2 linked regions of the Saccharomyces cerevisiae S288C genome follow. Changing the gene in region 1 together with any one later gene gives a genetic interaction. Each region holds a gene or a part of one and is shown on either strand. Other genes may lie near its edges.

Region 1 (4,267 bases):
CGTCGTTATGCGCTATTGTGGGGCCTGTCATTCCTCATGCCATTCTAGAATCGATGGCCGGTTTAATTGGTGAAACGCATTCCCATTCTCAGTCGCTAACACAACAGGCAACTAATGTAAATGCTGTATGGATAGCAGCGGGTTCTATCTTGGTTAAAGAATGGGTTTTTCAGGCAACAAAGAAAGTTGCAATCCAAACAAATTCTAATGTACTAATGGCAAACGCCTGGCATCATCGTGTTGACTCCTTGACATCGTTGGTAGCGTTGGTCGCTATCACATCTAGTTATTTTTTCAACATTCAATCCTTAGATAATTTAGGTGGGCTTGTAGTGTCAGGTTTGATCATAAAAACAGGTGGACAAGGTATCTTATCCTCACTGAAGGAGTTAGTTGACCAATCTATACCACCTACTGATCCGCGTTATCTAGAAATCGAATCTGTCATAAAAGACAGCATTGGCAGTTTGAAAACAGACTTAGATCTCAAACAGTCGTTACATGTTAGAGACCTTACTATATTAGCTTCCGGTCCTAATCTTCGTGCCACCACAACTTTGGAAGTGCCAGTATTACATTCAGGTCAGGAAGTTGGGATAAGATTTTTGGAAAACGCTATTTCGACTATAAGAGAGGATTTACGTATGAAGGTGCCAAACGTGGGGAAGGTGGACGTCGAGTTTGTTGATGTAACCTCTGACTCTAAAGGTGATTTGGAGCACTCTCATGACACTAAATCAACAAATCATACTCATACTCATTCTGATTCTGCCGATACTCACACCCATAAACATTAGGGAATTCTCAATGATGAATTTTTTCAAAAGTTAAGAGCAAAAGTACAGCCTTTCACATTTCAACAATTTACTGAGCTTAATATATATATGTATATATATATATGTTGAACAAGGAAGAATGCCTTGTGTTGTTCCTTTGTATAAAGTAATGTATTCTATATAATCAATCACAAATATATATGCATGTTCATTTCTGACCGACAATCCAATCGTTCAAGCCGTGTTTATTTCTAGCAATTTCAAAAGCGTAAAATTGTAGTCTCACGACAAAACAAGTAGTAAATTGACCATACTCGGCTGAAGCGTCTGTCCTCAACAAAGTACCAAAGTTATAGTCTTCGATTTTTTTCTCAAAAATTGTGAAGAACTTTCTCCATCTTTCCTTGGCTTCTTTTGTTTTTAATTCTTCCTCCGTAAACTTTTTGACCCTTTCAACATCTTTGTATTCTGGGAATCTCTCCATAAAATTCTCGTATATTTCGTCATCAAACTTAGTCAAACGTAACTTGGAACCGGGAACACTTGTTAATAGTTTCCAATATGTTTCCGCTTGTTCAACAGCAACAACAGCGAATTGTTTCTCGATATCTTCCAAGTTATCAGCGGTTTCTGCATTAAAAGTAGACATTGTTATATGATTGTTTCGTCGTGGTTCTTCTAGTCCATCTAACCAGATGTAGCTTTAACGGGTGAAAATTATCATTACTTCTGCTAGTCGAAGAATTTATGGATGTTCATCACTCCCTAGTACAACCTCTTACCCGGACAATTTCTTCAACAATGTTCATTCATCTTTAGTTTAATGAGGGATTTATAAGGTGAAAGCCAGTAGTAAAAGTGTATTTAACCCCTTTAAATTATCGCAAACTGTGCCTAGCAGTTCAGGAGTTATTTTTGGTATACTTTTGGAGCACGATTCATAACCTCATGTAAGAAATAATAATCAATCTTCGTGTATTTTTAAAATAATAATCCTTAACAACGACCTCTTACATAAATTTGTAGTTCAACATCGACAATTGTTAGCATCAAAAAGGATCCCTTAAGTTTAAGTTTACATAATTAATCTGCGTACCGTACATATATGAAAAGAACCAATATTAACTACTCTGTATGAAAAATGAATTAACCTAGAAAACAAAAAAGGAAGGAGAGCGTCATATGCTTGTCCTAAATTCTATCAACGTAGTAAACTCCATTTGAGGAGTGAATTAAAGAAAAAAGATGGAGTGAAACAAACGAAGTTAGCGAAGATAAAACACTAGCCAGTAGGCTTTCAATCTTCTTCATCGTCAGTATCAACTGGTTTTGGTGTACCTTTTGGCGATGACAACCACTCAATGTAACGTAGACGACGACGTTCGGCTTGCAGCTTCTTTTCATTTCTTGTCAATCTCTTCTTTCTTTGCTTGACCTTGATGTTAGCTGGAGAATCATCGTCATCTACAGATGGCTTGGCCAAGTTGGAGGCCTTTAGACCAACGGCATCAGCATTACCACCATCTTCGAATTTGGATTGGTCAACTTGTGCAGAGCCCTTTTGAACCATTTTACCGTTCTCCACAATCCATTGTTCAGGACATAAAGCACCAACAAATTCGTTATTATGCGAAATCATAACGACACCACCACTCCAGTCACGAATAGCAACGGCCAAAGCACCAAGAGAGTCTCTGTCCAAATAGTTGGTAGGTTCATCCAAAACAAGTAAATGAGGGTTGTTCCACATAGCACCGGCAATAACGACTTTAACTAATTGACCACCAGATAAAGAACCTAATGGAGTATGGTTAGCAATTTCAGAATCAAGACCAACGTCTTCAAAATGTTTGGTGATAACTGAAGGAATTAATTCACGGTAACCCAACCCTTCTCTGGAGGCTTCGTGATCGTCGAATTTTTGAACCAATTTTTCAAAGCCATGCTCGACCAAAACATCTTTTGGAACCCAGGAGTTGTATTTTGGTTTCCAGTATTTCCATTTGACCTCATATTGGAAAGATTTTTTCAACTTTTGTCTACCTACAATAGCTTCAATGGCTCTCTTACCTCTACCGTCATCAATGTCGATTTCCTTTGTCATCATTTCCTTTTCATCTTCGGATATTTTTCTGGATTCCTTCAATAAGACTTCACGGTCGTCACCGAATTGATAACGCCATTGCAAATATTGGTTTGCCGTCTTTTCCTTATGTTCATTGACGTGTTGCAATGCATGCTGAGCAATATAACCAATACGTAAATTTGGATGTTTTTCCACTTTACCTTCATTTGGAACCAATTCACCAGTTAATAGCTTGATCAAAGTGGATTTACCAGCACCGTTAGGACCTAAACAAGCCACACGAGAAGACAGAGACAATGAACAGGAGACATGGCTTAAGGAAGGCTTTTGGGCACCTGGATAAGAGAAAGTTACATCAGTCATTTTAGCGACGGCTCTAGTGTTAGACTTAACACCTGTTAAAATACCTGGGGGTGGGAAACGCATTTGAGCATTAGAATCTGTTAAGGTATAGTAAGATTTAGCTTCAGGTTTCTGCTCAACAAATGCTGCCAAGTTACCTTTGTAGTAAGCCAATTTCTTGTTTTCATAATGGATGATGTCAGTACAGACTGTATCTAAGAAACCAGAGTCATGCGAAACAATCAATGAAGTAATATCAGTATGTTCCAGTAAGTATTCTTCTAACCATTTAACGTTCGAAACATCTAAATGATTGGTAGGTTCATCCAGCAATAAAATATCAGCTTTTTGTAACATAGCTCTTGCCAATTCCAACTTCATTTTCCAACCACCAGATAAAGATCCAACAGTTTGTGCTCTTCTCTCTTCATCAAAACCGACAGATTCTAAAGCGGCTGCAATTTCCTCACGAGAAGTAGATTGCAGTTCTTCATCTAAAGCAATGAAGGAAACCAAGTCTAAATCACCTTCTTCACCTTGCAATTTATGTTCGACGAAACAGGTGCGTAATGTATCCTTGTCAGGAAAACCATCCAATTGACCATTAGCAATTGCTCTCATTAAAGTAGACTTACCAGCACCATTTCTACCACACAAACCGTAACGATGACCCTTTAGGAGACGAAGATTTGTTTTGTTCAAAAGCATTCTTGAACCATAAGCTAAGGAGAAATCAGTGTTGACAATCTCAATACCTTCGTCCTCATCTGCCCTTTCCTTTTCTTGGTAGAATAAAGCTCTCAAGTTATGGATAAAGTCTTGTTTGACAAATTCTCTTTGTGAATCTGAACCACCAAAAACGGCGGTCAAAAAATCTTCAAGTCTTTTCCAGTCGTTCACATTAGAATCCACGGTCAAAATCTTGCTCATATACTTGATAACAGTTTCGTCATTCATGTAAGGCTTGACAAAACAGGAATCATCAGCTTTAATGTCCTTGAGGTGATCAAGTAAGAAATCCCTACCTTCTTCTAAAGTCAGTCTGCCTGAGAATTTGTTTTCC
Region 2 (5,705 bases), on another chromosome or scaffold:
AGAAGCATCCCAGTCGGATATTCTGCTGCTGACAATACTGATTTGAGGTTAGCAACCTTCAAGTACTTGCAGTGTAATTCGTTGGATGGAAACAAAGTCAATGATGATTTGGACATATCTAAATCTGATTTCTTTGGCCTAAATACTTATGAATGGTGCTCTGGCACTTCTAGTTGGGAATCTTCTGGCTATGACAAGTTAAACTCAACTTTCGAAGATGCTGTTATTCCGTTGATATTTTCTGAGTATGGTTGCAACAAAAATACACCAAGAACTTTTGACGAAGTCTCTGAGGGTTTGTATGGTGGTTTAAAGAACGTCTTCTCTGGTGGGTTGGTATACGAATACACTGAAGAAGCTAATAATTACGGTTTGGTTAAGCTTGATGATAGCGGTTCTTTAACTTATAAGGATGATTTTGTTAATTTAGAATCACAATTGAAGAACGTTTCATTGCCAACAACAAAAGAAAGCGAAATATCTTCTGACTCTATCTACAAGTGCGATAACAGTGCCATCACCAATATTTATTCTGGCTTTGGAACGAACAATTTCACTTTGCCTTCTCAACCAGCAGAAATTGCCAATATGATTGAATACGGTGTTAATGGCACCAACACCGGTAAGATATTGACTGATTATGCTGTTCCAACTACTTTTAACTATACAATTAAAAACAATAAAGATGATACCATTTCAGCTACTATTTCATACGACAAAGCTAACTCACTGAACGAACTAGACGTCACAGCCACAACGGTCGCAAAGTCAGCTTCCACATCACAATCATCTTCTCGCTCCTTAACTTCAAGCACCAGTCCATCTTCAAGCACTGGCTCATCTTCAAGCACCGGTTCATCTTCAGCTTCAAGCAGCTCCAAAAGTAAAGGCGTCGGAAATATTGTTAATGTTTCCTTTAGTCAGTCTGGATACCTTGCATTATTTGCAGGTCTGATTTCTGCTCTACTCTGAGCTGCTCATGTATTTTTTTGAAACATCCATGGACTTGTTTTCGTTTTCAACCGTTTTATTTTTTTGTGTTCTTTTATCTTAACATATGTAAAACAATTTATATGTTTTTAAATAGTAAACTTTTCATCAAAAACGCTTAGGTATCACACCCATCATCCTTCACCAGGACAACCATTGGGTGCAAAAAATAAAATCAAAAAATGTCGAGTATGGATTCAAAAACCGCTAAAGATAAAAGAAAGGAGAATCAGCATAATCTTTTGTTGTTACTTCAGAATATTATACTAGGTGTTACAAATTTACTTTGGTAAAAAAAAAAAAAAAAATTGCAAAAAAACTACTGAAAAATAAACAACTGAGCAGAGAACTAAAGTATGCAAAAAAGAGGTTAAACAGAAAAAAAAGTAAAAGGCAAGGGCAAAATAAAGGTATAAAGGTAATCAATGTCTTTTATGATCGCGGACTTCTTCAAACCATCCGGGGATATCGGAACCACTCCCGTACAACTCTCTATCAGGTACCCGAATCTCTTCCATACCCAAGGTATCCTTGAGCCATGGATGGTTAACCAAGCCACCTGCATCAGCTCTTTTCCTTGGGTCTAGCTGTAACATAGGCGACAAAAAATCAGATATTTCCTTGGCTTCGTCCTTAGAAAACTTATATTTTTCAGTTAAAACATCTTCTAAGGGCCAAAATTTCAATTTCGAGATATTTCTTAAAAGCCCTCTTGAATTGAAGAAAGTTCTTGTATATTTGCCGTTCCTCAAAAGGTATGATGGTAATTCTCCCAATAACTCGATGATTTGTGCAATATGGTCATCATCCTTAGTGTAGGAATGACCTTCGTCCGGTTCGAAAAGAAAATCTCCGGTAATCAATTCAAAAATTAGACAAGCAGTAGACCATATATCTGCACCACAACCCCAAGGGGCGCCTAGTAACACCTCTGGTGATCTGTATTCTCTTGTCTGTATAGAATTCGTGTAATGTTCGTCATACCAACAAGCATTACCTAAATCAGCAATCTTGATCTGAATCAAATTTTCTGGGGAGTTGATATCGGTACTGACGTTTGAATTTGAATCCATAGTATTAGAAATATATGGACCATTTGTATCGGAGCTTTGTGATATATTGGAAATATCAAATGTAGATAAAGAGTCTGCCAGCTGCTCTTCATGCAAAGGTGTGTTCATTATGTCCTCGTTATTATTGTTGTTACTGTTGTTATTGTTGTTATTTTTATTTTTACTATTATCATTATTGTTGTTATCATTACTGTCTTCATTTATGAACATCCTGGTCACAGAATGTGGTACTGAATTTAAGAAACTATTGTTGCTATTCTTAATGCCTATGCCATTATTAATACTGTTATTATTGATGGAAGATGGAATGTTCCTATTCCCAGATACGGAGGAAAAGCTATTGTGACTACTACCACAAAAGTGCGCCCTCATTTCAAAGAAATTTGATGAACTAATTGGGGAAGGTAATGGTTGCGACCCTGTGATAATTGTATGACGTCTAGGTCTTCTAAAGCATCTTTTTGACAAGTCCTTCTCTATAGAACGAGATTTGGAATTTGAGCTTGAGCCGCAGGGCATACTTGTTTGGCATTCTGCCCATTTCTCATCACTGCTATCGTTCGCGGTAATATCAGAAGACCGCGAAACGTGCCTCTGCAACCTTTTTGCCTCTCTCTTCTGTTTATCCAGTGCCTCGACCATTTGAACGATACCCTCAACATCTCCAATCTCCATCAACACGTTTTCTGGTTTAATATCTGTGTGTATAATACCACACCGCCTATGCATGTAATCAAGACCAAGCAGTAACTGCTTCGATATTTGCTTGACATAAATCAATGGAATGCCCCTATGTTCATACTTCTTTATCAAAGCCAGTAAGTTCTCGCCGAGGACTTCAAATACCATAACCACATGGACGCCATTGGGGCCCTTATGGTTGAAATGATCTAGCAATTTCAAAATATGATTAGCCCCCATGGAATCCTCCTTTGTATTATCGGCGTCATTCACTCTTTGCAAAAGCTTAATTTCGTCTTCAGCAGCTTCTGTGTAAACTTTGTCGCCCCGAACAATCTTCATAGCAACGTGAGTGTTGTTTACCATATCCTTTGCCAACCAAACGGTGGAGAAGTGGCCCCATCCCAGCTTTCTTACTAAAATGTAGCGTGCATCCTTATAGGGCTCGCCCTTAAAGGCAGGGTGGTACCCACCCGGCCTGTAATCTTTCAAAGACTCTTCGTTCCTTTCGTCACATGATGAGATAGAGGAATCTGAATCCAAATCTGAGTCTGATTGTGGCCCCGAATCCGATTGGATGGACACATGCGATTCAACGCCGCTATCTGGTTTTTTCTTAATGCTCTTTGTAGAAAAATCTTCTGTCTTCGAGGAAGTATCCTCTTGTACAGTACCGTTGGCACTAGAGGATGACTTGGAAGTCTGCAAGGCCAAAGACAGTTTAGACTTCGTTGGAGCAGGCGCCTTCTTCATCATGTTATAATCCCTTTGAAAGAAATTCTTCTTCGCTTCCTGCGAGCTTGTTGCTTCCTCACATGAAATGCTCGCATCCGTACTAGTGTCAGCCAAATGAGCGCTTTTAGTCACAAACCCAGGATAGTTAATTGATGAACCCATTAATGTCTACACTTCTTCTTTACTCTATCTCTTCAACCTCAAAAGGGGGTGTCTATTTATACCAAAAAACACAATTATTTCTCAGCGCCAGGTGATCTAACAATTTTGAATCAGTTTTCCAATCTCTATTAACTTGCCAGCTACAAATAGATCCCTCTATATCCTGTGACTTCTCTATAGCTCTTTCATAGCCCACACTCATTGTTTATTCTCTTTCAAATAAATAACGACGATAAGATTTAGAAAAATAGAAAAAGAAATTAGAAAAAAATCCGGAAATAATATAGGCTCGTCCGTAACGATTTAATATCACGTGGATAGTGATATAATTATGAGGTGTTGCCAAATAGAACCTTTAATTATGTTTAACAGCGAAAAAACAAGGTTGTCAAGTAGCCGACTCATTTCTTCGTGACGTTGGTGACAGGAATATGCTTTCATCCTCTCGCTCCCCTACAATGGCTTCGGTTCCCGACATTTTGACTCTTTTCATGCCGTCATTTCTTTTTCTTGCTTGCAGGAAATGAAAATTTTTTTTTTCTTTGGCGATGAGCATCGAGAAAAAATATTTCTTTTTTTTATCATTTTTTCAGTTTCATTTTCATTTCACAGTTATAAAACATTAGTTGAGTTATAGTTTCGGTCACGGTAGTCTCTAATTAGCTTGCGTTCGTTGTAGTTTAACTTCCCTGGGTCATTTGGTAGGTAATATCTATATTCTAAAATAAACTAACGACATCAATATTCACAATGGCTGCCGGTGAACAAGTTTCTAACATGTTTGACACTATCTTAGTGTTAGACTTTGGTTCTCAATACTCTCATTTGATTACCAGAAGATTAAGAGAGTTTAACATCTATGCTGAGATGTTGCCATGCACTCAGAAGATCTCTGAGTTGGGCTGGACTCCAAAGGGTGTCATTCTTTCTGGTGGTCCATATTCCGTATACGCTGAAGACGCTCCACACGTAGACCATGCTATCTTTGATTTGAACGTTCCAATCCTGGGTATCTGTTACGGTATGCAAGAATTGGCTTGGATTAATGGTAAACAAGTTGGTCGTGGTGACAAGAGAGAGTACGGTCCTGCCACTTTGAAGGTGATTGACGATTCCAACTCTCTATTCAAAGGTATGAACGACTCTACTGTCTGGATGTCTCACGGTGATAAATTGCACGGCTTGCCAACTGGTTACAAGACCATTGCCACCTCCGATAACTCCCCATACTGTGGTATTGTCCACGAAACTAAGCCAATCTATGGTATTCAATTCCACCCAGAAGTTACACATTCTACCCAAGGTAAGACTCTTTTGAAAAACTTCGCCGTTGATTTGTGTCACGCTAAGCAAAACTGGACTATGGAAAACTTTATCGACACTGAAATAAACAGAATCAGAAAACTGGTCGGTCCAACTGCTGAAGTCATTGGTGCTGTTTCCGGTGGTGTTGATTCTACTGTTGCATCCAAATTGATGACAGAAGCCATCGGTGATAGATTCCATGCCATCTTGGTCGATAACGGTGTTTTGAGATTAAATGAAGCTGCTAACGTTAAAAAGACCCTTGTCGAAGGTTTAGGTATCAACTTGATGGTTGTCGATGCTTCCGAAGAATTTTTAAGTAAATTGAAGGGTGTCACTGACCCAGAAAAGAAGAGAAAGATTATTGGTAACACATTTATCCACGTCTTTGAAAGAGAAGCTGAAAAAATTAAGCCAAAAGATGGTAAGGAGATTCAATTCCTGTTACAAGGTACTCTTTATCCAGATGTCATCGAATCCATTTCTTTCAAAGGTCCTTCTCAAACCATTAAAACTCATCACAACGTCGGTGGTTTACTAGAGAACATGAAATTAAAGCTAATTGAACCATTGAGAGAACTGTTCAAAGACGAAGTCAGGCATCTAGGTGAATTATTAGGAATCCCTCATGATCTAGTCTGGAGACACCCTTTCCCTGGTCCAGGTATTGCTATTCGTGTTCTAGGTGAAGTTACTAAGGAACAAGTCGAAATAGCAAGAAAAGCTGACAACATTTACATTGAAGAAATCAAGAAGGCC

What was found.
Region 2: mutations in CHP1 (region 1) and SKY1 together harm fitness more than expected from each alone (negative genetic interaction), as found in Saccharomyces cerevisiae (2 studies listed by BioGRID).

What each region holds. Positions count from the first base shown.
Region 1 is NC_001148.4:123,164-127,430, reverse strand, and holds CHP1 (ribosome-associated Tef1p biogenesis chaperone CHP1), read right to left. Parts: upstream 1,426-4,267; coding exon 985-1,425; downstream 1-984. Other genes in the region: MMT2 (Mmt2p), read left to right, coding at 1-797; NEW1 (New1p), read right to left, coding at 2,074-4,267.
Region 2 is NC_001145.3:697,399-703,103, forward strand, and holds SKY1 (serine/threonine protein kinase SKY1), read right to left. Parts: upstream 3,642-5,705; coding exon 1,413-3,641; downstream 1-1,412. Other genes in the region: GAS3 (putative 1,3-beta-glucanosyltransferase), read left to right, coding at 1-972; GUA1 (GMP synthase (glutamine-hydrolyzing)), read left to right, coding at 4,392-5,705. UniProt on the Saccharomyces cerevisiae protein: Constitutively active kinase, specifically and sequentially phosphorylates serine/arginine (SR)-type shuttling mRNA binding proteins in their RS dipeptide repeats.